Oreochromis niloticus: one gene and its partners. The protein of the gene in region 3 purifies or fractionates together with the protein of the main gene of each other region. This does not show direct contact. Links are inferred from orthologs where the notes say so. Each region holds a gene or a part of one and is shown on either strand. Other genes may lie near its edges.

Region 1 (7,651 bases), on a different chromosome or scaffold from region 3:
AGAACGGCAGCACAAAGGTGGACGAGGCAAACTGAGTGGCTTGGTAATAATACTGAAACGCTTGGTCGTAGTCCTCCTGTGGAAGAAGGAAGGACAGATATGAATGGCGACCTCAGTAAACAATAACAAACTTGCACATGGCTGGTTGGGATCGTACCTGCACGTGAAATGAGCGAGCTAACTGATAGCAGCTCTCAGCCTGCATGGCCTCAACTTCTGTGTTGTGGAAAGCGTGCAGAGCGAGATGCTGCACTTTACTGTAGTCCTGAGAGGAAGCAGAAAGCACATAGGCACGAAGAACAGTTAATAACAGCGAAATGCTAGAACTTATATTTTCACCGCATTTCAACAACACAGCCGTGATTACCTTTTTGAAGAAGAAGTGGTTGGCGAGGTGGTTGAGTACCATGGGGTTGCTGGGGTCGATGGTGTAGGCCCGCGAAAGAAGCTGCACTCCGTTCTTGATGGAGTCTGCCTCTTTGTTGTTGAGCTCTAAAACAGCCAAACCAACGAGCGCTCCCACACACTTTGAGTTAAGCTCCAGGGCTCGACCGAAAGCCAAACGAGCCTTCTCCAGTTTGTTGAGCTTGACGAAACAGTGGCCCATCCCCAGCCTCACCTCAGCTACACAAAAACAAGACAAAAAACAAGTTGGGAACATTGATTTTATAACCAATATGAGTGAAGGGCAAATATATTATCTGTGGTCCTGTGTTTTTAAAATCAAGGATCTTCTGTTCATAAATTGTATTTATGTTTAAGTTAACAATGAAGTGGCTCATCACCTACATATCTTTGCCACATAAAACATGAACATACTGTCTCTTGTTGCTGCTGCAACAATAATATTTTCATCATAATATTGATGATGATAATAACAACAATAATAAATGAAATACAGGCATGCGGGGAGTGTTTAAAGACATTACATGTTATTGGTTTACCTGGGCAGCCGGGGTTTGTACGCAGAGCCTTTTTGTAGTACGCCAGCGCTCCTCTGTAATCCTTTTTATTGAAGGAGATGCAAGCCTTACCTGTTTAACAACAACATTGTTATTACTTCAGTCAATCAATGTAGTCCATTTCAATCCTACACTGTTTCATGTTCACGTTACCAAGCAAAGCAGGGATGTTATTGGTGGACTGGTTGAGGACAAAGTGGAACTGAGCATCAGCCTGGTCCATCTTGTCTCCTTCCAGCAGGCAGAAACAGGCTCTTCCCAACAAATGGTTCTGATTGAGACAACAGCAGGTTCGATTTACTCAAAATGCAAGAAAAATAAGCTCATTTATCACCTGCTATGATAGACTTTTTTTCCTACCTGATCATACATGATGATCTTGTCTGCCATAGTATACAGGAGCGTAGCCTGTGTGATGAGCTCCTTCTTGGCATCTTTGTTTTTCTCTTTACGTGCTTGCTGGACATAGTAAGCTGCCAGTGTGTCCAGACAGGTCATCTGGTCTTTTTCGTGGTCTCTGTAGTCGAGGTTTCCATCAATACGTGCTGCCTCTAAAAGCTTTACAAAGTCCTCTGTTTTGCCCTGTTTGTAGTACTCCAACTTAAGAAGAAATAGAAAGAAAACTGTCACACTCGATTGGAATTTCACATTGTTTGTTTCATCAAATTAACATCTAGACACACATCAGTTAGTGCAGTACTTAATCTCAATCTAACAACTACCTGATCGACAAGAAATGTACTGTTTATTTTAAGGTCACTTATTGAAATTTTCTGGTTCTCAAATGTGCGATTTTGCTTCTCTGTCGCATCTACATTTCTATTTTGGGCTGAGAAAATAAAATACTGTGAGCTGTCACATTGATGTTTGGGATAAACTGAAAAGAGAGCCTAATTATTATTTGCAGAACAAAAACCACAAAGTCTAAGGCTGATGTATCGACTCACCGCCAGAGCAATCCAAATGTGCAGCTGCGTGTGCTCCTGCTTCAAGATACTGATGACCTCATCTCCTTCAGGAAGTTGGTCGAAGTCGAGCTCGATGACCTGGAAAACACAAATATGTATGTTATTACAGTAAGTACCTCAGCATGCATGGTGTTGCCAGTGGAAAGACATATCTATGCAGATTATATGTGCATTATATTATTTTATTGTAATAGTAGTGCAAATCCTGACACATGTATCACTTCAGAGTGTTATGAATTAGAAACTGGAAACTTTGTTACGTGCTGCAAGAAAACCATCTGCATGTTAATGTGGCAAAGACGGCATGAATAGGCCGAGAACTCCAGCGACCCCCATTTCCATCCATGGGGTCTGTGTGGAGACGATGGGGGAATACAAATACCTCGGTGTTTACACTGATTAAAAACACAGAAGTCCTCTACAAGGAGAATCAAATTTGTCTTTACTGTCTAATGAGCAATGTCTGAGGAACTTTAATACTTACGGGATGATGCTCCCGATCTTTTACGAGTCTGTGGTGGCCAGTGTCATCCTCTATGCACAGAACCCAGAGACTGATAACCATGCCTCCCTGTGGCCATCAGACTTTATAACTCTGTACTGTACATAGTGTTGCTTTAACTTTGGAATATTTGATTTTAATTTTACATTAAGTGTGTACTTATATTTTTACTTTAAAAAATGGTTTCCATCTTCTCTCTTGCATATTTTCTATTTTAATAAAATGTATTTAACAAAACAAACATTTTGCATTTAATTCTTCAGCGACAGTTTGTTAGGTAGATTTCACCTGACCTATACAGTTTAATAGAAAACTCAGCTGCTGCGAATGCTTACAAGGTTCAATAAATTTGTTGGTTATACTGATCAATGCTTGTTTCACCAATTTTAAAAACAATTCAATGTAAAAGTCTTCATAAGGGACTATTCCTGGCATATGTTTCTAATATTTTGTCCACTCCTAACGCAGCCTAAACACTAATGCAACCGACTGCCTGCAACTAAAACACATCTGTCACAAATTCGGTGATGTGTTGAAATACCACAACGCATATTAGGCTCTTAAATTAAGTAGAAAACACCTCAGTAGAATTTAATGTTTACTGCATCACTGAGAGCGGCGACGACAAAACATCGCGATAAGTAAGCTTTGCACAGGCGCCTGAACGCATATTTAAGGAGTTGAACAGCTGACAAGCATCAAAATTTCACTATGTTTAAACTCCAGATTGCAAACAAATACACCACGTTTTCGTTACAATGCCACTGTGTAAGCAGACACATAATATCAGCTCAGGCTAGCCGCAGTTAGCTTAAACGGCTAACAGCACAGCTAGATCCTCTTAGTGAAAACAGGTTCACGGAAGGATTTACCTCATCTGTGTCCCGTAAAGGGATCTCGATAGAGCCTCGAGACATCTTGAAAGAATAACCAAAACCACTCGAAGTTAGATTTATCTAAAAAAAAATTGTAAAAATAAAAATAAAAATACAATTTCTTCCACCCGTTGTCTGCTGGTAGCTACTTCATGCTTCCGAAACACACGGATGGCGCAACTGAAATTATGTCCGGGCAGAAACCATAAACACTATAACTCAATGACTGTAGAAAACAATACAGTTATTGCTATAACTCAAAGAGAAACTGCCACAAAAAAGACGGGACATCGTATCAGCTTGCTTACAAACTGAATTTAGTTAACAATGGGAGAGCCATCACTTACAATACAATAAAACAATAGCGTTTTATTGGGAATAATCTGCAACACACACACACTGACACTGGAAGGTAGTGGGATTTTACTTCCTACATTTGCTGAATTCAAACGGGAGACTGTGCATTTGATGTGTTAAACGTGTGACTTCCAATTTAAATTTACGGTGTGCATCATTGTCACAAACCTCTCCAGAGCTGCATTTTGGCAAGCAGTGGGAGGAGGGTGTGGATGAGGGTGAAGGGAGGGAGGCTGAGGGGATGTCAGCTGGTTTTGATGTGAGTACTGAAAACCAAAGAAGCACCTTGAAGACTTCACAGTATTTCAGTATTAAAGAGTAGAAGACAAACAATAAGGTGATGCTTCTTACTGAAAAATTTTCTTTGCAGAAAACCTGTCCGGACTGAAAAGTAAGATTTTTTTCTGACTTGTTTCTGTTTAAAAATAAATGTTTAAAGGCTATGTGAGATAAGACCAAAAACATATGTGTCTTCCAGTCTGACTGTAAACCATATGAATTGTCTTCCCTGCAGGAATCTTCAGAGGTGGAAATTTGGTTCATGTGAAAGTTCTTTAACACAACTGTACTGTCTGAAAACCTGCATTTTTTTTAACTCATTTTTATGAAGACTGGTTACATTTAGTTTCTAAAAATAATCTATGTTCCAATTTGCATCAAGGATAATACTTAATTCCAATTTATGTTCAATTTTATGATATTAGTCTGTTAGTTTTAGCCTCCAGACACAATGCACAGAGTTTAAAATGCATTTGTTTATTTAAATTTCAGGTCATGCAGGGACATGACTGTCCAGCATAGTTGCTCTCTGTGGCTTCAGGAGAAACAAATACAATGTCTGACGGCAATAATGGTGAGTGTTTCAATTTATCCAGTATTAGTATCAAACAAGTATACAGCATATTCATTTCGTTTTCTAACATTTGGCTCTTTACATGTAAAGTGTGGGAGACATCTGGCTGTGGGATGAACGATGTGTTTGAGGACAGCAAAGATACAAGCGGATTCTCTGAACATGAACTCCTTGACATCGTGTATGATACGTGTAATAGCAGCAAGTCAGGTATACAGATGGACCGAATTTCATTTAGACAAAAAAACGGTGCAGTAATGGTGTGACGTCTTTTTCATTTCCTCCTTTTCCCCTCTTGCCTTCAGGAGAAGTGTTAGCCTCCACCATTTTCGAGTACCTGCACACCATGACTGCTCAGAGCCCAGGGCAGGACAGACTGGCTGCCCTGCAACGGCTGCTCGACCCTGACTGTCAGGACCCACATGTGAGCAGAGAGACGTTTCACTCCACCATGAGGGCGTGGATCACCCAGTGCAGCGAGGACAGGTGAGACTGAAACTGTACACAAGGGACCTGCAACCTTTACATAACATCTATAAACTTCATATCTAATTAAATATTTTGTTACTATAGATTAAAGTTCCTAACAATATATTTTTATTTTGACTTTTTTTAAAGTTAGCTCCACTTTAAATAATTACTTTTGCATGTAGTCATTTAAAGCAAGAGGAAGAATAATTTAAATATGAAGGGATGAAGTGAAGATGGTCTGCTACAATGTCCATCACATTTTATCTTTTTTACAAACATAGCAGGGCATGTCCAGTTAAATGTATTGCCTACTTTTCTATCAATTAAACATTTTATTAATCAGCTGTGATATCACTCAGTTTTCCTGTGTTACAGTACTGATGAGGACAGCAGCCATGTACCTCGGCCAAACACATCTGAAGAGCCTGTAAATGCAAATGGTATGTTTCCAGGTTTTATTCTGTTTTGAGACTCAGTTTATTAAATATGAAACAATTCATTACTCCTCATTTCCTTTCAGGGCTGGGTTTGTCATTTTGTCAAAGCGAAGAGACGTCATCAGAAGGCCAGCGGTGTTTCTGGTTGGATATTTTTTTCTAGTTTAACCATTGTTTATGTTTACCTCCCTAACCAGTTTGATTTTACACATTAGTAACCATTTCTTTGGCTTCAGCGATGGAAAAGACCTGTCAGGTACAGTGGCTGAACTGAAGCATGCCAACCGCAAACTGAGTGAGCAGAACAGTAGTCTGCTGAGGACTGTTGCTCAATGTGAAGACACGAACCTGCAGCTCACTCTGGAGATCACTGAGCTGCGAGCAAAGCTCATCAGGTGAAGGATAAACTCATTTCTTCCACAGTTAACTGCAGTCCTAGCATGTAAGATTACACTACTGTAATAACTTCCAGCAAAAGCAGATTGTTTTATTATTCAAGTAAACTATATCATATCATGTATGTGCACTTCTAAAGTGACAAACTGTGATCGGTAACAATGTAATAAACGTCTAATGACTAAAAACGAGCAGAAATACCAATAGCAGTCATTATAGACTGCACATATTTGATATAGGTGCACTCTGGTTTGGACAACACATATATTTTATTCTCTGTACTGTTTTTCTTCAGGGTGAAATGATTGTACAGCATGCATCTTTAATTTCTTTAGACTTTCTCGAATCCATACAGGGGCAAAATAATATATACAGGCTCTAAATACATGTACATACACCGCCATTAATATTTGGTTAAGCGTCCCTTAGCAAGTTTCACCTCAAATGACTCTTTTAATAAGCATCAACAAGCTTCTGGCAGGATATTTGACTATTCTTCTTGGCAGAATGGGCAGAGTTAATTTAAATTGGTGGAAGGGATGAAGTGAAGGTGACTTGCCAGACTCTTTTGGTAGCCGTCAACAAGCTTCTGATAAAATTCTGGATGGAGATTTGACTTCTTCTTGGCAGAACTGCTGGAGTTAATTTAAAATGACTGATTTCATTTTGGAGTGTAGTCATAAATTTTCAATAGGTTTGAGGTCATCGCTTTCGGAAGACCAGAAGCTTAATGTTAGCCTGTTTTATCCATTCCAAAAGCAGTATTGATGTCTGTTTGGGATCACTGTCCTGTTTGAACACCGAACTCTGTCCAAGTTTCAACCTTGTAGCTGTTGATTTGAGGTGAAGTTGAAGAGTTTATAGGTAGTCCTCCTTCTTCATCATTTAATCCACTTTCCACTATCAGCACCACTGGCAGCAAAACAGCCCCAGAGCATGACGCTACCACCACCATGCAAGATAGTTGCTGCAGTGCTGTGAAGTTTGAAAGCCTCACCTTTCCTCCAAACATACCTTTTTTATTGTGACCAAATAGTGCAATATTTGTCTCATTTGACCATAAAACTTTTCCAAAGACATTTGGCTTGTCCATGTGAGCAGCTGCAAATTTTAGTTGTGCTTGAAGGTGTTGATTCTGAAGCAGGGCCTTGTTTCTTGGTCGACACCCTCTCAGTCCATGCTGATTAAAATTAGGTTTACTGTGGACAGTGATGCTTGTGTTCCCGCTATTTCCAGTTCACTGCAGGCTTGAGTCTTGATGGTCCCTGGGTTGTTCCTGAACATCCCAACCAATTTCCTCTCATCTGAGGGTGACAGTTTGGGTCTTCTTCCAGACCTCGGCAAAGTGGTTGAATTGTTAAGAAATAGCTCCAAGAAATTTTCACCAAGTTATTTGGATTTTAACCATTGTTCTGAGTATTGGTCAGCCCAATGAGTGCTGTAAAACAAACCCTTTTTATGCTGATAAAGAGAAACTACCAGTTGTAGTCAATCGTGATCACTAATGAGACGTCGTGTGGATTTGAGAAAATTCAAAATAAAATTTAAAAAAATTCAAAATCCAATTCTTTTTTCTTAAAAATTTAAAGCCATAAGAAATGTATGCTGCACAATCATTCCACCCACCACACATATATAACAAGCCCATTTCTTAAAAAATACAGAATAAACATCAGTTACTTACTCCAAATGGCACAAATAGGCCTTTCAAACTTTTACTTAAGGAATCGTCTCATAGACATACATTTATTAGTTTATTAATTATTTGGTCTGTTCTTGTCAGTATCTTTTTTCATGTAGTCGGTCATGTAATTACCTTGTAATTTGTTT
Region 2 (7,799 bases), on a different chromosome or scaffold from region 3:
ACACAGTTCATTATCACAGCTGCCGGCCCTCTGTGATTTTGTTTGATTCCTTCGTTTGTGTGCTGAACACATTTTTCAATAATTAACTAAATCAACAGACTGAGCCTTTAAAACAAACATGTTAAATCCACAGCAATAAATACTGTATTACCTCTGAAATCAATAGTTAATGGTTATTGTTATTATATAATGAGGAACATATATTAACTTATGGAGGATCAATACGTCGTTTTTTAACTTTCCATCTTACCAACCTATATTTGTTGTCTTGATTTCATAACGTTGTAGTTTATGTATATATATTTTTGTCCTGGCTGAGCTCTGCCTCTCCTAAACGTTACCACAGTTATTAGCAGGCTGAGCTCAGGTATGTTGGTTAGAGTTTACAGAAGAGACCTAAAGGATGTTAATGTCTTTCAGCATCTTGCTGATAGCAGTAAAAGAAGAAGTCGAGCCACTTACAGTAGTATCTGTAGGTCGCCTGGACGGCGCAGACAGCAAACAGAAGCCCGCAGAGTGAAATCCATCCGTTCCTCATGTTGTGTGAATCCTGAAATCAGATCCGAAAGCTGCAGCTGATGGAAAAACTCCTGCACAGCTCCTCAGAGTGATTCCTTTTAACTCCTCTCCTGCTGCAGGTCCGTACACGCTGCACGTACAGGCCACACTTATTCACGTGTGATTCACAAAACACACACCGTCAGTCAGAGGATATGACGGCTGCAGCGTGTGTGTGTGTGTGTGTGTGTGTGTGTGTGTGTGTGTGTGTGTGTGTGTGTGTGTTGTAACACTGTGAGCCGTTGTCCTGGAGCTTCATATTTACATTTTTACAACACAAAGACGTCTCACAGGACGGAGAATGAAAAATCAGATTTCTGTGAATGAAGTGATTCTGCGCTCTGTTCCAGATGTGGAAAACATGACAGATGTTTCCTGAACATGAAGTCTGCATGCAGCTGCTGAGAGTTCAGATTAAACCAGGCACCATAAAAATAAAAATTTTATACTTCAAATGTCATCACAAGGGCAGGCGGGCGTGGCCGAATGAACCTGCAGGACGCTGGGACTGAATCAACTGCTAAAAGTAACAAATGAAGAAACAAAAACATTAAGTTACAATATTTTTAATTTTATTATTTTTATTAACAAACAAAGAACTCTGACTCAGCATGCGGACGCTGCAACAGTGCAGAAGCTGACCATTTACAGCAACAGTCATGTCAGAGGGTTTTACAATCTAATGTGCGGACCTCATAGAAAACACAAAGCCCTGCGACCGACCTGTCCAGGTGTGCCCCGCCTCAGCCTACTGCAGCTGGGATGGACCCTGACTGGCATAAGAAGAAGAAAATAGACAGCTGGTGTCCCCCACGGCTCAGTTTTAGGCCCAGTTTATCTTTAGTCTCTTATCAGTTTTTATTGATTTTACCAGTCAGCAATATTCCTATTATCATTACATTTAACACTGCATTATTACATAGATCCTATTGTTACTATTATTAGTAGTAGTAGTAACCTTTTTAAAAACTTTTATTATTAAGGTTTCATATTTTGGTTGATTCGTTTCTGGACTTTCTTTCATTAAAGGATCATTTATGAATTTTGACCTTTAGTTTCTGAACTTAAAATAAATCGTTCCATTGTGGTTGGATTAATGCTCGTTTTACCAGCTTACAGAAATCACTTCCTGTATGCACTACTAATGCACTCTGGTAAGTATGTTCATAATACCCATAGGATTGATTTTAAAATAACTGTACTTACATATAGAACACTGAGTGTCCTGAGCTCTGATTGGTAGTTACTCAGTCACTCACCTGTAAGTTGAGAAAACTTTTAACAGCAGTTATTTTGACTGTAGCTGCTTGAACTCATCAAATGTCACTGACTTTATGCGGTCTCTGGTCTCCACATCACTGTGAGTGTGGACACAGTGTAACTGTGCATTATTACACTCACACAGTGTCTCTTATCTATCTCGTTGTGCAGTTACTCTGTGAAAAGCATTTTATAAATACATTTTTCTTACTTTGCCTCCTTGAGAAAACCTGTTTAAGCACGAGGAAAACATTCAAACCACTGAGCTGTTGTGCTGCCAGTTATTAAAAATCACAACCTAAATGCGAGCCTGGCCTCACAAAAACGTGACATGTTGGTTTTTAAATCAAGACTGTAAAATTGTGAGATTCCAAACCTTTTATGGACTTTTTCTCTGACCTCCAACCAAAGCAGTAATAAAGCATTTGCTTAATTTGGGTTTATCTTAACCCTAACACAACCCTTTTCTAAATCACCTGGGTGCTGGGTGAAGGTGGGTTGCTGAGTGGCTTGCAGATTAACAGCAACAATGGGCAGAAAAAAGCAGCTCAAACTGTTCATATACTGTTCATACAGTTCATATAGAGCTCAAGCTGTATATGAACTGTACCAATGTGAGGTTCCTATATCTCAACAGAGCGTGAGATAAAATTATAAAATGGTCAAAAGTCATGTCTCTCTACTTAATGTAATAAATATATGTTATAAATAAAGTTTGTAACATCTCTTTATTACTAAAATATGTTTTTACCTCAGCTAGTTAAATCATTGTGATCAGTTAGTTAAAGGACTAGTTGGGATTATATAAGGAATTTGAATATTTTTAATAAAACTTAACAAAGCTTACGTTAAAGTTTAGCATAACTTAAATGTGATAATTCATCTTAAACCATGTGGAAAGCTTACATAAAGCACATAAAAATATGTATAAAATTAAATCAATATGATATATATAAGATATCACATTAAAGAAAATCTTAGTACTAATATTAAATAAGTATGTTTAAAACAGTAAATATTAAAATATGAGGTCATCTATCAAAGTTGTGGAATATAATCAAGATTTTTATATGAGGAAAAATGATTTTTGTTCTTTCCTTTTAATTAAACTGTTTACTGTAGTTATTATCACTGTGGTGCGTTCAGGGAGATATAAAAGGTTGAGGATGTGCTCGGGGTTAGGGTTTTATTCAAGGTGCAAAAACATCCAAAGACAGCCACAGACGTTTATTTTCAGTCCCCACAGATGAAAGCACATTTCACCTCCTGCTGAGTTTGGAGCTAAACACAGTGTTTTGTGTTGTGGAGCCCTGATTCTCGCCTGCAGGCACATTTTCTCCTCCTCCTCCTGCTCAGGTAGTTTCCATGTGTAAGATGTGTCCTGAGGCTGCAGGTGAGCCAGCAGACACACCCTGAGCCTCAGACACACACTTACTCACACACACACACACACCCTGCCTGCTTACACACAGAGTCACACCCAGTCTGTCCGTGTTGCTGTGCCAACACACCTTAACGCGCGCACACACACACACACACACACACACACACACACACACACATTTAGTTTATTGAGTCATAATAAAGCTTCATTGTAGATTTTATCGCCAAGTTTGTGAAGAAATTGCAAAACTTTCTGGACCGAGTTTGATTTCAGCGCTTGTTAAAAAATCAAGACAAGAATCTGAACTTAGTTAAAGAATCTCCTGGTTTAAAGAAAATACTCTGACCTTTTACCGATTTTTAACAAACTGAATCTCACTGAAAATAAAATATTATTATTATAAACTGTTAAGTCTCTTGTGTTGGAACAAATTAATCATCAGATGTGATCACGCAGTTTGTTGCTTTGCTGTTTGTAAATGCAGAAAGTTTGACTGTGCTGAACCAAATGACTCAGTTTTGTCTTTACGATGTGAAAATACTCTTTTAGATTCCTCTTTTTCTGCCTCAGATGCCCTAAATGAAATCAAGTTCCCACTGAAAATCCATTCGTTTCCTTAAAAACACTTTAAGAGATGCAGGCAGGGCTGTTAGATGATTTTCTACTATTGTTTTCACATGATCTATAAATCTTATTGAGCTCGGTCCTTCAGGTGCTTCAGGTTAAATATCTGGTGCCTTCAGGAGGGGAGCTCAGGTTAACACAGACTGATGAATGTTTCATTTGTCTGTCTGTCATATACAAGAAACATCACCTTCTTTAAAACACTCCAGATCAGCTGGTTTCACAGGAGTTAATGCCTGAATACAAAAAAAATATCAATTCAATATTATATTTTATCCATTCTGTTCTATTTTTTGTTCTGTTCTGTTCTTTTATTCTGTTCTGTTCTTTTATACTTTTCTAATACTTATACTAAATATAAACTAAAGGTTTATAAAACTGGCCTGGCTTTATTACTTTCACTGTAACTGGCATTTATAACTATGAGGCTCAAATCTGTTTCGCTGGTGTAAAGATGACTGACCTCTGTACCAAAGTGTTCATGAAAAGAGAAACATGGAGCACAGCTTTCATGTATTCTCTCCACTGTGTTAGAACAATAAAGGCTAAAAATATTTAGTAAAAGAAGAAGAAGAAGAAACAGAACTTGGTGGAGGACGATTCTCCCTCCGGCCTGAGGGGGCGCTGATGCACCGGGAGTTTATTTATTTTTTAACCGAAAGTGAAGTGCAGCCGGAGGAAGCCAAGGCTGCTAGGCTACCGGTGCTTAGCTGCTGAAGTCTGGAGCAGCTTTTGCATTTTTCTGACCTGACTGTAAGTACAAATACTTCGGGTTATTTATACCTGCATTTCTTCTTAATTTAATCATATTTTTAATGCGACGCGATGTGAGTGGCAGTTCCGGTGATCAGTAGCTAGCAGGGAGCTAACATTAGCCTGCAGTCACGCATTGATTCGGTTAATTTCAGACATTTATGTGAAACTAATTTTTATCTAAATTGTACTGAAAGTTTCAAGATAAGTGACTTAAATTCGTGATTATAAGCCATAAATGTAATTTTACGCTTTGAGGCTAATGTTAAATGCTAGCCAAACATTAGAGAGTTGAATCTGATGATGATAAAAGTCCACAGTAAAAACAACCCGCTGTGCTAATGACGCTGTTATCGTTTGTATCCCGAATCACCGCAGACAGCGGGATTTATCCTAGCAGTGGACAGTAAATGCATCCATGAAGACTGGGTTTGAGTTACTTCATTCAATTTCCGTATTAGATTTATGTTGAGTAAAGTGACTCTGATCCATACAGCCATGTTTACATAAGTGAGTCACTATCAAAGACCCGTTTGGGTTCAGGCAAGACCAAAGTTCATCTTAAAAGGTGGTAAGCAGACAGCAGCAAGGCTTCTACCAGAGTTTGGCCAGTTAATTATTTCAGTAATTTCTTAGATGTGATATTATCATTTCTCAGTTCAGCAAACCGACTTTTTTTGGCAATATTTACTGACTTTCATCCCTCTGTGACTCCAAACCAAATGATGTTCACAGTAAATGCCAGATCTAAGCTAAATATCGAGGAGTTTGACAGCAGTTTATTGTTTCTCAGATTAACGGGTTCACGGAATAGGAGGACCCTCCTGTCAGTCCACCATGGCGGACATCAAGAACTTCCTGTACGCCTGGTGTGGGAAAAAGAAGCTGACTCCAAACTACGACATCCGAGCAGCGGGCAACAAAAACAGGCAGAAGTTTATGTGTGAGGTGAGCGTTCGGTCTGACGTCAGGGGGTTTAACTCTGGGAGGTTTTTGTTAACCTTACACCGTACTCCCTGCAGGTCCGAGTCGATGGCTTCAACTACATTGGGATGGGAAACTCCACCAATAAGAAGGACGCGCAGACCAACGCCGCCCGCGACTTTGTCAACTATCTGGTCCGAATAGGAGAGATGAACGCAGCAGAGGTCCCGGCCATCGGGGTCAGGAAGCTGTTCCTGTTTTTCCTTCTTTTTTTCTGTAGAGATAAAAAACGATCATTTCTCTCACTTTGTCTCTTTTAAATGAACAAGTACGTTTTCTGCCATCAGGTGAGCACGCCCATCGCAGATCAACCTGATGCAGCTGGAGATGCTGGCTTTGGAAACCTCCCTTCTAGCGGTCCTCTACCACCTCACCTGGTAGTGAAAGCTGAGCAAGGTAACGGTAGCATGGTGGCTTTAACGACTCCAAACATCACAAGTTCTTACTTTAATGTGGTGAGTCGAGTCGGATTAAACGGGTTCAGATATTCAGCTGGTTTCTTTCTGCTTCTCCTTCTTTATTGTTCTCAGGGGACGGCAGCGTCAGTGGGCCGGTTCCAGGAGTGACCGGACTGGGTTATGCAGGAGGAGGAAACTCCGGTTGGGGCAGAGGAGGAAGTGACGGAGGAGCTCAGTGGGACCGAGGAGCCAACCTGAAGGAGTATTACGCCAAGAGAGACGAACAGGAAGCACAGGCGGTACAAGATAATTCCAAATTACAGTGCAGTGAAAAGCATTGGTAATGTTAACATTAAGCTCCTTAACAGGAAGTAAGCTGCTCCTAAGTTACAGTCGTCCCCCTAAAGCTCAAATCTGAACCAGAACCTTGGACAGATTTACTAAACTTGGAACAACCAGCCAAGTTTACACTACAGGAACTGCTGTTTCACTCCGAGGACTCTGCTTTCATGAAGGAAACTGGCACTCGGGGAATACTTTTTTTTTTTTTTTTAAACTTCGGCCATTAATAATATGCAGATGCATCATTAGAACCAGAATAAGTTCCCTTTTTTTTAATCTTCAGGTTTGATTTCTCTCCCTCGCTAAACAAACTCCCGCCTGTTGTTTTGTTTGCAGACTCTGGAGTCGGAGGAAGTGGATCTGAACGCTAACCTTCACGGAAACTGGACTCTGGAGAACGCCAAGGCCCGTCTGAACCAGTTCTTCCAGAAGGAGAAAACCAGTGCTGAGTATAAATACAGCCAAGTGGGACCGGACCACAACAGGTCTGGAATCTCAGAGGTTTTTAAACCGGCTGGAAATTCTAAACCAGATCCAGTCTGAGGGGTCACAGCTGGAACCAAAACAAACACTGTGATTTTAATGAGCTTCAGCTGCTTGATAATTCTCTTTAGCTGGAGAAAAATCAGAAGTATTTTCTAAAAGCAACTGTGATTTTGACCAAAGGATTTGATTTCTCAATTTTCAGTGAATTGACTGAATCTCTGCTGGAAGTATTTTGTTTCCCTTCAGTTTGGATTTGGTTTGGAGTTCACTGCCGGCCTTTGGCCACAGACCTGTTTTATTTTGCATGTTCAGACATTAAGTTTATGATTGTACTGATACTGCAGAGCCAGCGCTGCTTATTTTAGTCATTCAGCTCAGAGATAAAGGCAAAGATTGACCCAGCCCTGTCCCCAAAGAGCCGCTCAGCAACCAAACTGGGGAAACACGAACTAATCATAATTTTGCCCTGAGCCACACCAAAGCTTTACAACAGCTTTAGTTGTTTTCTTAGTAAAGATGGGGATGATTGGACTTACCATGGCGTTTCTTCAGCGTTGTGGGAGGAGTCAGAGTCAGAGATGGTGGCATCTCTGTAACTTTGTCAGTGCTCGCAAAATCGCTAGCCTGACGTCCCGGGGCAGCGATTTTTCCAGTCGGGCTACCAAAATCTATCTCAGCCCTGCCCGTCGGGCTATCATAGGAAGGAAAAATATGTGTCAATGCTTTTGCATTCTTTCACAAATGTAGCTGAGTAATTATGTCATTGGCATCGGGGAGCCACTGTCAATATGTGACATATTGAAATCGCGTTTGAATTTGTGCTTGTTTTTTGCTTTCACTTTGCGATCGCGCGAACTGTGTGTAGAGAGCGGCAGCACTGATTGGTGAGTGACGATTAATTGCGCACCAATTCCTCTGACATTGTCTTATCACTCATTAGCTACTATTCAAACCTGACAAGTGAAATCTCCCACAGCAAGCTTAAACGTGAGAGGTTGATGGCGCAGAGA
Region 3 (8,085 bases):
TTTTTATTACAGGAGCTGTGTTCTGACCACCATCAAACAACAAAAACTAACTGCACTCCAAAATTATTTAAAACTAAAGACAAATGCGGCCTTTAAATTATTTTTTTTTTGACTGCTTCTATGAAGGTTCGCTAAAGTAGTCGACCTGCCTCCATCTCCTGCTATCCCAGCATCCTCCTCTCTCACACATGCTGTCTGCATGTCCTCATGGAACAAAATATAAATGAAAATGAAGTCCAGTCCAAACTTCCGCAGGTAACGTCAGTGAGGTTTGTGGTTGCTCCTAAACACTACCCCTGTGGAGACGGGGCTGAAATCAGTGAATTAAAGGCGAGGTGAACGTGAGCGTACCCTGCAGAGGATGGAGGAGGAGGCTGCTGCTGCTGGCTGTACCCGGAGAATGACGACTGCTGGCTGTAGTTCATGCTGGACGGCTGGTTGCTGCTGTTATAGCCTCCGGAGCTGTAGGACTGACTTGAGTGACCATACCCACCACCGCCACCGCCCTGGTTGGAGGATGGAGACCCGTATCCACCTGGGAAAAGGAAACTGATTCAGAGGTGACTGGAAAACAGTGACTGTGGATTTGGGCGGACGCTGGGGCTTCCTCTACCTGACTGAGGATGGCCGTAGCCGCTATAGCCTCCCTGATTGTAGGAGCTGGAGCTGCTGTCCGCGCTCTGGTTGTAGCCTCCGTAGCCCTGCTGGCCGTAACCCGGGCCAGACGACTGACCGTAGCCCTGGCTAGCACCGCCACCTCCACCATAGGATGGATAGCTGCACACACCAACCAAGAATACACCATTTCAAATCTACTTTTTATCATTCACTTACAAAACAAAATTATTTCCACGGTTAAATGCAAGGACTTACTTTTCTTGTTTTAACCCAAATTCAGAATCTAAATGTATTTTTCTGGACGAGTATTAATAATGACAGAAACCTTCATGAATGAATAAAGACATGATTTACATAACTCACCCCTGGCTAGGTGTTTGGGAATAATCTGAGGAGAAAAAGCAGAGAGGGTTAATATTGAAGATAATTTTAATGATAGCAATCAAACATCCAAACAGTGTCAGACATAATCTATAAAACTCAAACTCAACAGTAACTATATAAGACAGATTTTAATGGTAATTATTAAATTAATAAACTATATTCTATCTGTAAAAGCCCTTTTTAAGAAGGCCAGCTTTTTATCATCCAGAAATGAAAAACAGCAATACTTAGGCTCAGTTTTCATGACATGCACTAAAACTTATTCTCTTTCAGTCTGGGAGTAGATTTAATCCATGTCCGGGAGATCTGTCCAAACCGAACATAATTAACAAAAACAGACGGATTTAAAGTGTTTCAGATTTCCAACACTGTGAAACTATTTATGAATACATTAAACACCACATCAGACACCAAATCCACTGAATTCAAATTTGTCAGATCTGTCTGAAATCTTACTTTTAAGATTATGCTTAAAACTTTTGTTTTTTGACGTAGTTAGGACTGGATCGGGGGACCCTGAACCGACAGGCTTCCCATGACGCATTTCTTCTTCATTCACACCACTCTGCATTTTATCATTTGTTATTATTCATCTCTGCTCTCTTACCCCCAGCTCGGTGTTATGGACGAGCCTTGAGGGTCCTGAGCCGCCCAGTCAAGTCACTGTGCAGCTGTATCCTAATGACACACGTCAGCCGTAAGTTACACTAAATCACATGATAATGGTAAATGGCCTGTATTTGTATAGCGCTTTACACATCCAGTCATCCACCCATTCACGCACATCACACACTGGTGATGGCAAGCTACGTTGTAGCCACAGCCACCCTGGGGCGCACTGACAGAGGCGAGGCTGCCGAACACTGGCGCCACCGGGCCCTCTGGCCACCACCAGTAACGGCAACGGGTGAAGTGTCTTGCCCAAGGACACAACAACCGAGACTGTCAGAACCGGGGCTCGAACCAGCAACCTTCCGATTACAAGGCGAACTCCCAACTTTTGAGCCACGATCGCCCCGTGAAAAACATAAACACCCTTATCACTGATAAGCTACTGCAGTGCAGCTCAGTTTAATGATTCGGTTTACAGCAGTTTAGAGCTTCCTGTGCAGGTCAGAAGTATCTCTGTGTCTCATCTGTGTGTGCAGTGAGCTTTAAAACATGACCCTGCATGAAAATGGCAACACAAATGGAAAAGTGACGAGGATATTGTACCCTAGTGTGTGTGTTGTGAGTTCAGTGATCCAATCAAACACAGATACAGTCGCACTTTTATAACTCTAAACTTTGAGTGTCCTGTGCCTATATGTTTGGAAATATGTACACCTGTTTATTTATTCTGTTTTGTGTTTTTCTGGAATAGCAAAGTCCTCCCTGTTAAAGTCGGTTACCCTCCAGTTCAAACACCCAGCCTGCTGCTCCCTGCCCTCAGCCCCATCAGGCAGATGGCTGCCCCTCCCTGATCCTGGTTGTAACGCAGGGTTCTTCTTGTTAACAGGACCTTTCCTCACAGGGAGCCATGTGACTGTTCTGTGTTGTCGCAGGCTCTTTACCTCACAGTATTAATAATCCAGCCCACAGATGCCAAAAAATGAATAAGGAAATGTCTTTCATTATTTTGTGTTGAGTTGGATGTCCGGTGTAGGTAGGTGAGCTGGTTTTTGCTCGGTCTCCGCTCTGATGTGCTTTTAATAAACCGAGGCCAGAGGTTAAAGCAGCGGATCGGCAAAGGGGAGCGGTTTCCCTGCTCGAGACCGCAGTGAGCCACCAGAAACTGGGTCAGCAGCAAAACCGGGCTAACGGCGAGCTAACCGGACCGGACCGGAGCAGGCACCGGTATTACTCAGTTAACCTAAGCTAGGCGGTGAGGCGTCCTGCAGCCGGACAAACGGTGGCGTAAGGCCTGCATGAATTAAATGTGAGGATGGACGCCACGCCCCCAGAGAGCCATTTAAACTTCAGCTAGCCGCTAGCTGTCCTCTGTTCACCGGCAGGTGAAGGTGATGCTATCTTTAGCTAACCGCTTCCGACGCCCAGACACCGGACAGATTTACCAGTTTCTCTTACCGTTAGACGCCATTTACACGGAGACAGCGCCGCTTCAGCCTTTCTCTCGGTCAAACAGCGGGTCGTTGGATGATTAAACCGAAGAAGAGGACGAATCGACACGAAGCTCGACCCACTAGCGCTGCCGTCTTCAGCTGCTGTTCCTCCGCCGGCCGCCAGGGGGAGCGCAGCAGTATCGATGCTGTTTAGTTTTATATCGGGTGGGAAATGGTGCATCAGCTTTTTTTTTCTTTTTTTTTTAAATGAACTTTATTTAGAACAATAACAATGACAAGCTCAAAGAGACAAGCGACATATTGAATCATTCAGAACAGAATCGCACCTCCGTTTTCTTTTCTCCCAATCAGAGGAATACACATCATTGCCACAGTGCAGTTGGTACACCACAATGAAATCAATGAAATCGACAATGACTGAAAGTAAACATACATACATACATATGCAAACACACACATTTATACACACACGTCTACATAATAATAATAATAATAATAATATAATAAAAATGAATAACCAATACAAAAATTAAATAAATAAATAAATAACAATAAAAAAGAATAAAAAAAAATGAAAAACAAGGAACAGAAATAAAGGAGACAAGGGGGATCATAAAATCTCTAAAAGTGAGGTTCCATAAACAAGACACATAACTTAAATAAGGGGCTAAGAAAAATCAAACTCTTCTAAAAATCTATGCAATTTGATTGCTTGGGGCTTATTTATTAGCTTCAGAGATTTACGGAACAGGGAGAGTTCGTTTTTAAGAGCAGCCCATGAAGGGGGGGATTTAGCATATCAGCATTTATGAATGTAATACTTTGTTATAATAATGAGATTGTTAACTAAAAACTCACTATTTTTGTCCTTAAGGATTACTCCAATTTGAATATTTTGAAAAGACCAAAAATCAATATTTCCATACTGGGACAATATCAGGACATGGAGGGATTTCCATAAGTTCTGGATTGTCACACACCCATAAAACATGTGCTCTGTTGTTTCCGAAGTTGTTTTACAAATATAACAGTTGTCTAACACAAATTTAAATCTGTCTCTCATAAATTCATTGGAGGGGTAAATAGTTTTTTGTAGTTCTAAAATGGACTTCTTTAAATTTGGGGGGAATTGGAAATTTTAAATATTTGGTTCTGATCAACGAGATCTCAGATTTGTTATAATCTTTAAAATGGTAAATGGCCTGTATTTATATAGCGCCTTCTAGTCCCTAAGGACCCCAAAGCGCTTTACATATCCAGTCATTCACCCATTCACACACACATTCACACACTGGTGATAGCAAGCTACGTTAAAGATGAGTGTATGTTTTGTCCTACCTGGATATAAGATGTTAACCAAATACCTCCTCAGAAACTGATTATTGCATTTTTCATTAACCAAGTCAAGACCATCTAATTTAATTTTATGTAAATTTGGAGTCGGTATATTTGAAAAATTGTTCTTTATCGTATTGACTAGGACTATTGGGATATTCTGTGAAACCTTTTTGTACAGCTCGAACGAGCAACTCATGTCATATTTCTCATTAAACCTGTTTAATTCAAGTGTATCTCCATTTTCATCCATTATATATGTCACAGACCAAATTTGTTTTGTCATTCTTCCACAAACATAGATTTCCCCCGATTCAATATCACCCTATTATTCCACAATGGAACGTTGTGGGGACTAAAGTTATGTTTAAACATTAATTTCCAATTTAACAAAACTTGTTGATGAAATTTGGAGAGTTTTATGGGCAGTTTAGAAATTTCAAAATCACATACTAAAAGGAATTGGATCCCCTCAGCTTTGTTGAAAATATGAGATGGTATCAAAAACCAGATCTCATTATCATTTTTTAAAAAAGATCGGAGCCAATTAATCTTTAAGATGCCATTCATTATTTCAAAATCGATTGCTTTTAAACCCCCCTCTTCATAGTCTTTTATCAAGTCCCTGTTACTGATATAATGATGTTTATTTTTCCATATGAAATTAAAATTCAGCTTATTGATGTCTTTTATAATCCTTGGTGGGATGGCTAGGGAATAAACTGGATAGATTAATCTGGACAAAGATTCAACCTTGGTCAACATTATCCTGCCGACCAAAGTTAAATCTCTCTGTAGCCAATGGTTTAGGGGTTTTTTTGCATTTGTCAGTTGTATTCTGAATATTCTTTTCTTCGCTATCAGCCATGCATTTAGTTAGCCAAATTCCAAGATATTTGATTTCATTTTTGACACGTATATTGTACAAAGAAGAGTGAGAACAATTGTGGATACTCATGAGTTCACATTTGTCCAGGTTCAGGCGTAGTCCAGAAGCATCAGAAAAGATCTTTATTGTATCTAAGGCCAATGGAATTTGTTCTTTATTTTTTAGAAAGATTGTTGTATCATCGGCAAGCTGACTTATTATTAATTTGTGGTTATTTATGTCTAATCCTTCAATGTTTGAATTTATGACAGTAATAGCAAAAATGATGCATCATCTCAACGTGTTTCTGAAATGTGATTTCTTATAACACAAAATAGTAGTATATTAATCAAGCCATGCAATAACAACATGTGCCGGAACATGCAAAACAGTGCAAAAGTAACATGCCGAAACTGTTCAGACAGTGAATGGACTGATTTTTATATAGCGCTTTTCTACTCTCCCAGATTACTCAAAGTGCCAACTTGATACCAGATCCTGGCCAGACCTGCTTGCTATGTGGGCACTAACACACACACAGACACAGTTACTTTACCAACTGACCCCTGACCCCTGAGCTCCTAAGTGTCCCTCAAACCTCATACTCCTCTACTTCACTGTCACTCCCTGAAAGCTCTCTGTCCTCACTTTCTGAGGACAGAAAGTGCACATTCCCTTGGTTTCCTTGCATAAAAGGTATTTACATCCATGTCCTGTAATTATGGGTAGATTGTAAAGTAAAAAGCATTGACTATGATCATATAAATGCACACAAACACATCTCTACACACATATGCAAATGCACTATATTGCCTGAAAAAAATTGGGCTAACTGCGCAGTGTTGCCTTGAGGCAACGAATGAAAATTAACAGTTTTACTATATAAATAAATTTTAAAAAGTAGAAAAAACAATCAAATATGCTTCTTAACATATTCATGCACATACAAGTATTTTTTTAATATACATTTATTTCACTATAAACATGTAAAATAGTGATCTTTATCTTGTCTCCGAATGGAGATGTCTCTCATGTACTGCAGCTTGCAGAAAGGGGTCCTGCCCCCCCCCCCCAAATATAAGTCACACCACCTTCAACTCATCATTTTATTGGAAAGAGATGTGCCTGGTAGCATTATTTGAAAAAAAAAAGTTGGTTTTTTTTGAAGGGCCAGTGTAAGGCATGAAAATGTGGTTTGTTGCCTCAGGGCAACGCTATGCAGTAGAGGGTTAATAGTAATAGTAGTAAAACAGTATCATTTTAATAACAACAATAATAAAAATAATTTTTAATCACTTTTTTCATTTTCTTCAGAAGGAAAGTCAGTGAATTTATGATGACGGCAAAAACAGTAATGACAAACCTAGTTTGAGAATTGTTTGGGGTGTTTCTCTGTCCTTTAGATCTCACTGCGAAAGAAGAATCCATAAAAGCGGCCATCACTGCATTGAACATGCATGGGTAAAGGACCAAGTGCCTTTATTTGGATAGTGGCAGACCTGTGAGAGCAAATAAACTACATTCAGTTTCATCAGTGAAATTTTTTATTATGAAAATACAGTAAATATATTTTATTTAGTTTCCATCTAACAGTCCAGGAGTAAAAGGCAGGCCTGCACTTGAGGATCACTTTCCTGAGAGAAACTGTAAAAGTAAACCCGTCTGTTTTCATCACCGTGGCAACATGTTTCCACAGAAACAAGCTTCATCATCACTGGTAAGTAACTACAGAGCAGGTGTGATTCCTGCTGTAATGATCGAGCACATCTCCTTCAGTTTTCTGTATCAGAGAGCGTCCTGTGTGGTGACTGTGCTGAGGTGACCACACTTGTGATGTTGCTGCATGTTTACTGTCAACAGGAAGAAACAGGCAGTTTGTTTCCTGTTTGTTTGTCGGGGTTGCCGTGGTCGTGTCTCGGTCAGCGGTCTGGGAACTTGGACTTGAGTCATTCTGTTGTTCCGAGTTTTTATTCTTGTTTCTTACTTCTTTATCGTCCTGTTTCTTAGTTCTTGTGACGCCATCTTTGCTTCCTGTTTTTACTGTGTGATCTTTCCAGAGATGCGTTTCAGGTTTAGGGTTACGTTTCGGTTTATTCTTTATCGTTTCCTTGTGTATTCCTCCCTTCTTTCCCGTCTGTTTTCACTGTTCCCTCTCCCCAAGACTTTTATTGTTTTAGTCTTTTACTGTTTTACTTTTGGATATTTGACCTTTTGTTTCCTGGTTCTGGATGAAGCATCTTTCTGTTTTGTTGGGCCTGTTGAGTTTGACTTTTTAAGAAAACAGGAAGTTAAATGTGCACTTAAAAGAAAAAGAGACACACATACACACACACACACACACAAACTGATGCCCTTTGTTTGACTGATTAGATATTTGTCACTGAGCAGTTGAACAGCTGTGTGTGTAACAGAGTGGCAGGGTGTGTGAATTGATGCGATTGTGATTAGATGATTGGTTCATACCTGTGATTATGTTTACCTTTTGTCATTCTAAGTGTAGATGAATGAATTTTTACGTGTTATCAGTGAAGTATTGTTGATGCTCAAAGAAGCAGGTCTGTTGATTTCTGTACAAACACAGTGAAAAGCTGTCGTTACACCTGAGCCTGACAGAGCTGCAGAGGTCTGACTGCACTGTGACCGATTCACAGGACGAGATGATGGACAGCTTCAGCCCGGCTTCAGCCCGCTGCGGTCCTCGCTGCCAACATAAACCTCAGCGCTTCAGACTGAGACCCATGCATCAGAGCACCCTGAGCCTGGGCGACACGCCGCCCTGCTACACCACCACCCACACCCAGGTCAGCCCCCAGTGTG
Region 4 (7,470 bases), on a different chromosome or scaffold from region 3:
TGATGTTGGCCTGTGCTGCCTGCTGTGTACGAGCCATGCTTCCAGAGTGGCCATCCCAGGTAACCTGAAATGCAAAAGAATACAATTAGTATTATTATTATTACTACTATCGTTGTTATTGTTAAACACAGTTTTATAAAAACTGCAGTTACTCAGTGTTTTTACCTTCTCCTCTGGCTTTTGGATTTCTTCTTCTCCAATCTTTTTACCGATGGCCGTCTCTTCCACACCGAAGATATCAGTACGCCTCTCAGCCAGCTGTTTCAAGCTGCTCTCGATATCCAAACCAGGAGCATAAACTTCATCCTCAGTCTGTCTGTCTCTGATGCTGCGGTCTCTTTGCTCCAGCCAGCGTGGATCCAGCAGACCGATACGCATGTGCTCTTGCATCTTACTGGCCGGGATCTTCTCACCGGTAATGGGAGAGATGAGGTACTCGTCTGGAACTGCAACTGAGGGCTGAGGCTTGGATGCTGTTATGAAAAGGTAACATTAGTTAAAAAACAAAAACAAACACGTTGTACAAAGTAAAAACTTGCTCACATAACGAACAGTGTTACCTTTGGGGTCGTAGTCTTTGCGAATGATAACCTGATCTGGAGTTGGAGGCAGTGGAGGTGGCATGGGGGTGTCTGGTGGCAGTGGAGCCTTCATGCCATCATCATCATCATCAGATCCCTAAAGAAAGCAGCAGGGGATGAATCGATTTTGTTACAAGATCTTAAAGTTTTCTTCTTCTTTTTCTTTCTCCAAGCAGTGGGTTAGAAAAGATGTCATTTAATTAAAAGAAAAACATATAGTATCAAATCTATAACTGGTCAGACACGAACAGCTTACAATCCGCAGTAATTAATTACTCCATCCATTCTAACCTCATCCATGTCCTGCACTTGTGTGTCTTGATCAGGCTGTGAAGGCTGGCCTTCACCCCTATCCTCCCGCTCATCATCTTCACCCTCGCTCTCCACTTCCATCTCAACCTCCTCACTCTCTCCAAACTTCTCATAGCGCTCCTGGATCAGGATGCGAGCGCCGAGCTCCTCTGGTGTGGTAGGTGGTGGGAAGTGGCCTAAGGAAGTTGAGATGCCAATAAAGATTAAATGATTGTACCAATATTTAAAGGTGGGGGTTACTATTCAAAGATATAGTTACTGTGGTTATAATTACCTTGTTCATTAGGTTGGAAGTCCACCGTTTCGACCACTACAAAGTCATGCCAGTCGATTTGGGCATATGCTACTCGTTCCTTCTCCCTTTCCTCCTCCTCCTTCTTCCTCTCGCGCTCCTGGTACTTTGCCCATTCAACACGGTACCTTACCTGATGGTTGGACAACAGGACATATTACAAACATGGGAAAGAGCAAATGTAAACGGCTATTTTGAGAAGCAGTCACTGTTAAAACGGAATACCTGGTCCATAACCTCTTTTGGGTTCTCGGCTTCCTTCTTGAGTTTGGTCAGTAAGCCTTTGGGAGGGATCAGAATCTAAAGGATTAAAGGTAAGAATCAAGATAATGCTTAGAAAGTTTAGAATCACCACTTGAATAAATACACACCCAGAGAAGCCCAATCTGTTAAGTCACCTTAGTATACTGCTCCACCAGCTTGGTGAAGTAATTGAAAAGGCTGTGCTGTGGTCGCAAAAAGTCAAACTGGTAGTTCCTCTGTTCCTTCTGCATGAGCTGAGTGAGAAACTGGCGGCCATTGCGAGCAACAAACTGGGCAGTGAGCTTCACAACATCCAGGTCAAATGCTGAGATTGATGGAGGATCTGCAATGAACTCAAACTCGGGGGGAGGTTCTTTGGGGACCACTGTCTCCTGAATTACCTGTGACTGAACCTAAAGAAAAATGTAAAATATTAGTCAGGGTCAAAGACTACCAGTTTTATTTTGTAATTAAAAAAATAAAATAAAGTGCAAAGTGAAGTTCAATGACTTACTTTCTGAGGAAGCTGCTGGGACTGTTGCATAGCCTGCTGCATAACTTTGGGCACTGCTGCAGATGGCTCTTGAGCTTTCCCCTCCTTAAATTCATTGACTTTGTGGCGATAGTAGGCATGGTAGGGGTCATTCGGGTTGAGAAAGTTAAACTTTGGATTGTTGATCTCGTTCTGACGAATTCTTGCTTCAAATTCAGGCCCGTTCCTGTGAATTGGCAAGAATTAGTTATGCCATATACATGAAATCCGGTTACCTTTACATATTTAAAATGCTGCCACATATAAAATAACCAACCTTGCAACAAAGCTGGCTGTCTTGTCAACAATGTTTCGGACCTCGGGAGGTGGATAAATGATACCAACAATAGGTTTTGTGGCTGGGGTTTCTTCTGCTGTTGAATCATTCTGTTTCACAAAAGCACATTTGTTAGTTAGAATAAACCAAAGAAGGGTTAGATGGATAAATAAAAGAATAAGGTTCAAAAAAGAGAGTGGACCACTTAACATCCACCCGATTTTAAATCTTTTCCAACTACACCAAGTAATATTTCCCCTGCTCTACTACAATTTATAACACTCAAAGCATAGACAACATTTTGAAAAACTTTATATTTCGCTGTACTAGTCCACACAGGAGACTAATGAAATATACGGTAAAAACTACCAAGTGCTCTGATGAAAGTAGGTCGGTGAATTTTCTGCGTGAAAAAGTGTGGTTCTGTACAAAACACATTGATTCAAAGATCTGTTTTCAATTTAGCAAGTAACTTGCCGTTGTACTGAAGTGACAGCAAAGTCTCAGCTATTACCTTCAGGTTCAAACTGAGATTTTAGACGCTGTGTGTAGATTTACCATCAAAGGTAACTACGGGCTAGCAAGGTTTAATGCTGCGACCTCAAACGTTTAGCGAAAGAAAAAAAAGATAGACGCTACCTGTTCGCTAAATTCAAAAATCACAGAGACAGTTCAAAGTGTAGAAAGACAAAAATTAACCCAGTTCACAAGTTAGCCGAAAAAAAGCAAGCAGTATGTAGGCTGCACTGCTGGCATTAGCTAACTAGCAGCGGTACCCTTACCTTGTTGTTAGCCTCCGGCTGAACGATTTGAACAGGCCCAGGCGGCATGGCTGCGACTTATTGTAAAACTGGAAGTTACCTGCAAACACAAAACCAACAAGAAAAAAAATATGTATTTTAAACAATCCTTTTTAGCAAATGCTATGTCAACAATAAAGGCTACAGGAGCTAAAAGCTTAAAATTTACCGTGGTTAAACACACTTACTACGTCGCGCTTTCGTTGACCCAATGGAGATGAATTACTTCCGGAAATAACCCGCACAGCATTGTGGAACTTGGAGTACTTTTTTTGGATGTTGCCAAGGAGATGCGGTATCAACAGACTGCACAGTGTTTTTCAGAGCTGTGTCATTTATAAAATAGTTTGTCAGACATGAGTCAGTTGCTGGGTAGTCAGGACTGTATCGAAAGCCTCCGAAAAGACCTGGTTGACCTTCAGGGAGCGATTCTGGACGTGTTTTCTCGAACCGGACCGCTCCGCTTTTCTTCCTGGAAGTTCCCGGACAAGCACTCCTGTAATCTAGACATGGTAGCTCTGCTAGAGCAGTATGACTTTGTGGATGGGGAAGATGCGTTCAATCAGCACTCCCACATTGTTTTACTGGAGTTGGTGGTTGACAGGTAATACATAACAATGACAATTTTATTGTATAGCACATTTACATGAAAACTCAATGTGCCTAACACAGAAAATTAAGAAACATAAAAATGTTAGATGTTTTAATATTGTTATTTTTATTATATGCACAGTGAAAGAAAATCGCGGTTTACACTGTACAATGAAATTCTTATTTTGCCAGTTTCCCTGTTGTGCCCATGCCTTGTGGATGTTTGCAAACAGACCTGTACAAATTAGTGCAGTAGCAGATACTGATAGTACAGTAACAGCCAACAGTAGTGATGGTGTGGGAGAGGGGCAGTGCTGATTGTCTCATTCAGGAGTCCGATGGCCAACAGCTAGAAGCTATTTGAGAGAGTATTAGTGCTTGATTTCAGTCGCCTGTAGAATCTACCTGAGGGCAAAAGTGTGGAGAGGTGGTGGGTGTGTATTGTCTCTAAAAATGTTGTGAGCCCTTGTGACGAACCTGGTCGTGCAAATGCCGTGTAGTGATGTGAAGGCTGCTCCTGTGATGTACTGTGCAGTTTTTATCCCACGTTGGAGATCCTTCCTGTCAGTGCAGCTTCCAATACCACTCTGTAACTGAGGTGATGATGATGCTCTCAACTGTATGTTGAGTTGTAAAAAAAAAAATGCTGAGGATTTTAGTCGACATGCCAGACTTCCTCAGCCATCTTAGGAAGTACAGTCTTTACTGTGATTTCTTGAGAAACTTCTGGATGTTGTGAGATCTTCCCTAATGTGTGTCCCTTGGAATTTAAAGGTTTTCACCCTCTCTACCTGTCTCACGGATGTCTATTGTGTGTATGCTGCTTTATCCTCCTCTTCACATAAAAAAATCAAGAGTTGTCGGTCTTATCTGCACTTAGGAAGAGATTATTTTGCTGACACCAAGCCACCAGTCCTGCCATTTTGTTTTCTATATGCCATCAGTGATCAGCCTAATGATTGCGGTATCATCTGTGAACTTTATAATGCTGCTGTGGGATGAATAGACATGAACAAAATCATTGGTACCCTTCTGTTGAAGGAGGAAAAACTGACACTAATCACTGAAATAACTTGAAACTGACAAAAGAAATAATCAGCAAAAATTGACATTACATTACATAAACACATAATAAGCGTTACAAAATTTTCTTTCCCTCCCTCTCTGGCTGAACAAGACTGCTGCTTCTTGTGCAAAGCTCCAGTGCTTACATTGACCGACTGAGGGGCAGCCACAGGAGAGAACAAACGCCACAGAAAGGATGCCTGTCAGTTGGTCTGGTAGTCACAAACTACTGGAGTAATTTAGTTCAATTTGCCACCATAAAGGTAGGCAGACTGCTTCATTTTAGTGAAGACATAATTAAAAATAATGGCATAATGTTGCCAGTTAACTGATAGATCTCAGTGCTTTATGCTGTCTTTCCTTTTTTAGGAGACTGAACTCAGTAAAAGGCAGATGAAAAGAAACAGTGATGAGACAAACACTGCATCACCTGTCTCACCTCAAATGAGCTCAAGGACCGACTTTTGCAGGCGTTGCTTGTCTGCTTGGTCTTCAACGAGCACATTTGAAATTTCCCCACAGAATCTCGCATCCTCCAGTCCCACCCACAGCAGTCCATGCTCTCCCGTGGTTAGCAGTCAAAACAAAAGCTGCCAGACTGTCGAATCATTGCTCATTCCATGTGATGCGTGTCATCAAGTGCAAACTCTTTTGAGAAAGACAGGAGACGCTCTGGCAGACCTGCTTCAGAGCGAGGGCTTGCCCTCATCTCTGCAGCCTCTCTTAGCAGCTGTGGATGACTCTCTGGAGGTGGGACGCATGACAGCAGGTGATGTTTCCCAGTGGGCCAATGAACAGCGCAGGGACACGCGCAGGCTGGAAAAACACCTTCAAGATGTGCGCTGTACAGTGCAGCCTCTTAAAGACAGACTAGCAGCGGCAGAAGAGGAACAGAAAAGACTCAGGTCCCAGCTGGAAAGAGCACAAAAAGAGTTCAACCAAGAGAAGGAAAAGCTTCAAATAAATTCAGTCCAGCTTGAGTTTTCGCTGCAGAAAGCACAGAGAGTCAATAAAGAAACAGAGAAAAGGCTACATGAGGAGCAACAGCAACATAAGAGGGGTGAGTGAAATTGTGAATAAACATGATGAGAATTCACTGAGATCACTTTTAGTACTTTCACATTTTTGAACACAGACACTATGTCCTTGGAAGAGATGAATTTCAAACTAAAGGAGGAAATAGCATTGCAGCAAAATACCTTACAAGCACTTGGTAAGACATGCACCTAAGATTAATCTACAACCTTTCTTTCATTTTAAAAAAAGAAATAATGTTTTGCAGAGCAAAATAAATATTTATGCTGGCTAAGAAATTTGTTTTTGTGTTAGAACATGAAAAGAAAGGACTGCAGGAGAGTCTGAACACCTTACAAATAGAGGAAGAGGCCTGTTCTAAACTGCAGCACAGGATCCAGCAGTTAGAGAGTCAGATCTCCGACACTCAGCTCCTTCTTGATAAGGAGAAAGCCAAGTACCAGAGTGCCTGCCGTCAGCAAGAGGTCAGCATCACAGCAAGCACCTGATTATTTGTTGTTTTCCACTGGGCACTGTGACAGACTCGCTTATGTGTGAGTCACACAGCAGTACTCAAATAGATTCATACAGGTGTTGTTTGGTTGTGTAATCCAGTCAGTGCAGGCAAAGCAGAAGTCTTTGTTAGAGAGAGTCGACGCTCTCGACGAAGAGTGTGAAGAGCTACAGAGGCAGCTGGGGGAGAGAGAGGAGAGGCAGATCGGCCTACAGAGTCAGCTGCAACAGATGTCAGAGGAGAAGGAAGAACTGCGAGCTCAGCTCACTCAACAGCAGGTAGATCAGAGCTCTAAAATGCACTTTACCCATAATAATACCCAAAGAAGACATGTTTTAATGTAGTAGTATATTCTGCTATATTTTTTCCCCATCAGGACCTGTGTTCGAAGCTCCAAAATGAGAAACAGACCCTACAAACACACACAGATGAGCTAAAAAACTTCGTGGATGAGTTGAAGGAATATGTGCAAGCTTTGAGAGAGAGGGAGAGGCTGTTGGTGGCTTTCCCAGAGCTCAGCCCACTGGCTCAACCACAGAGTAGGCCGTTATGAACTACCTACTAACATTACCTGCGTGTATGCAAATAGATGTGGCTTTGCACCTGTCAAGCACTAGTCGACTGCAGCTATTAATACTTTGGAAAGCACAGAGTGCTAGTTTGACAAACTTGGAATTATAAGATCACAAGAATGACCCTGTGCACTTACAGATGGAAGAGACAGTAAATCAGAAAAATCCGTGCACATTAAAGTATTACTCTTGTCTTCAATCTTGTCATTTTTTTCTTAGTTTCTTGGGGTTTTTTTGAGTATGATAATCATGTAGAGTTAATGACTATTTCTAATTTTATTCCATGTAAAAAGGTACAGGAAATGTGCTTCTGGATATGCAGCAGCAACTGCAAGCAAATAGCATTCGTATAAAGGTTTTGGAGCAGGAAAATTCCACCCTTCTTAGAAGTCTGGAGAAACTGGGAGAAAGAGCACAACATAATGCAAGCAGGGTAAGTCATTAGGTAGGATTCTTGTGATGCTGCATAAATAAAAAATGCATGAATAGACGTATATCATGGATGAATAAACAACTTCAAACAGGGTTTTGTGGTTGTTATTTGCTGAACATTATATATATGCATTTTTAACAGGAAGCCTCCACTCAGCAGACATGGACTGCTTCTCTGCCCAACACACCAACAGAAAAACATCCAGCGTAAGTATTCTGCTCTTTAGATTAGTCTGAGTAATACT

The links.
Region 1: the proteins of fus (region 3) and ctr9 purify together in Homo sapiens (affinity purification with mass spectrometry; 3 studies listed by BioGRID and IntAct, with this or other methods). This does not show direct contact. The link is inferred for Oreochromis niloticus from reciprocal best matches to the Homo sapiens genes FUS and CTR9.
Region 2: the proteins of fus (region 3) and dhx9 purify together in Homo sapiens (affinity purification with mass spectrometry; 4 studies listed by BioGRID and IntAct, with this or other methods). This does not show direct contact. The link is inferred for Oreochromis niloticus from reciprocal best matches to the Homo sapiens genes FUS and DHX9.
Region 4: the proteins of fus (region 3) and sf3a1 purify together in Homo sapiens (affinity purification with mass spectrometry; 3 studies listed by BioGRID and IntAct, with this or other methods). This does not show direct contact. The link is inferred for Oreochromis niloticus from reciprocal best matches to the Homo sapiens genes FUS and SF3A1.

Annotation. Positions count from the first base shown.
Region 1 is NC_031965.2:20,537,626-20,545,276, reverse strand, and holds the start of ctr9 (RNA polymerase-associated protein CTR9 homolog), read right to left. Parts: upstream 3,498-7,651; 5' UTR 3,350-3,497; coding exon 3,305-3,349; intron 2,009-3,304; coding exon 1,910-2,008; intron 1,563-1,909; coding exon 1,323-1,562; intron 1,234-1,322; coding exon 1,116-1,233; intron 1,035-1,115; coding exon 945-1,034; intron 625-944; coding exon 368-624; intron 266-367; coding exon 158-265; intron 77-157; coding exon 1-76. Other genes in the region: uncharacterized protein mrvi1, read left to right, coding at 4,499-4,517, 4,608-4,727, 4,823-5,003, 5,364-5,428, 5,509-5,569, 5,662-5,820. UniProt on the Homo sapiens protein: Component of the PAF1 complex (PAF1C) which has multiple functions during transcription by RNA polymerase II and is implicated in regulation of development and maintenance of embryonic stem cell pluripotency.
Region 2 is NC_031982.2:34,272,981-34,280,779, reverse strand, and holds the start of dhx9 (ATP-dependent RNA helicase A), read left to right. Parts: upstream 1-4,427; 5' UTR 4,428-4,579; intron 4,580-5,372; 5' UTR 5,373-5,416; coding exon 5,417-5,527; intron 5,528-5,601; coding exon 5,602-5,742; intron 5,743-5,850; coding exon 5,851-5,959; intron 5,960-6,093; coding exon 6,094-6,260; intron 6,261-6,639; coding exon 6,640-6,788; intron 6,789-7,799. Other genes in the region: lamc2 (laminin subunit gamma-2), read right to left, coding at 463-538. UniProt on the Homo sapiens protein: Multifunctional ATP-dependent nucleic acid helicase that unwinds DNA and RNA in a 3' to 5' direction and that plays important roles in many processes, such as DNA replication, transcriptional activation, post-transcriptional RNA regulation, mRNA translation and RNA-mediated gene silencing.
Region 3 is NC_031969.2:32,750,930-32,759,014, reverse strand, and holds the start of fus (RNA-binding protein FUS), read right to left. Parts: upstream 3,083-8,085; coding exon 3,070-3,082; intron 1,007-3,069; coding exon 982-1,006; intron 778-981; coding exon 614-777; intron 536-613; coding exon 352-535; intron 1-351. Other genes in the region: uncharacterized protein LOC100698127, read left to right, coding at 7,022-7,086, 7,850-8,069. UniProt on the Homo sapiens protein: DNA/RNA-binding protein that plays a role in various cellular processes such as transcription regulation, RNA splicing, RNA transport, DNA repair and damage response. Binds to ssRNA containing the consensus sequence 5'-AGGUAA-3'.
Region 4 is NC_031977.2:11,768,387-11,775,856, reverse strand, and holds the start of sf3a1 (splicing factor 3A subunit 1), read right to left. Parts: upstream 3,349-7,470; 5' UTR 3,226-3,348; exon of another isoform or gene 3,207-3,225; intron 3,099-3,206; 5' UTR 3,068-3,098; coding exon 3,020-3,067; intron 2,348-3,019; coding exon 2,238-2,347; intron 2,148-2,237; coding exon 1,943-2,147; intron 1,842-1,942; coding exon 1,584-1,841; intron 1,486-1,583; coding exon 1,411-1,485; intron 1,319-1,410; coding exon 1,168-1,318; intron 1,070-1,167; coding exon 873-1,069; intron 679-872; coding exon 561-678; intron 474-560; coding exon 166-473; intron 65-165; coding exon 1-64. Other genes in the region: ccdc157 (coiled-coil domain-containing protein 157), read left to right, coding at 3,394-3,641, 4,806-4,956, 5,063-5,753, 5,829-5,906, 6,023-6,192, 6,323-6,499, 6,598-6,760, 7,087-7,226 and 1 more. UniProt on the Homo sapiens protein: Component of the 17S U2 SnRNP complex of the spliceosome, a large ribonucleoprotein complex that removes introns from transcribed pre-mRNAs.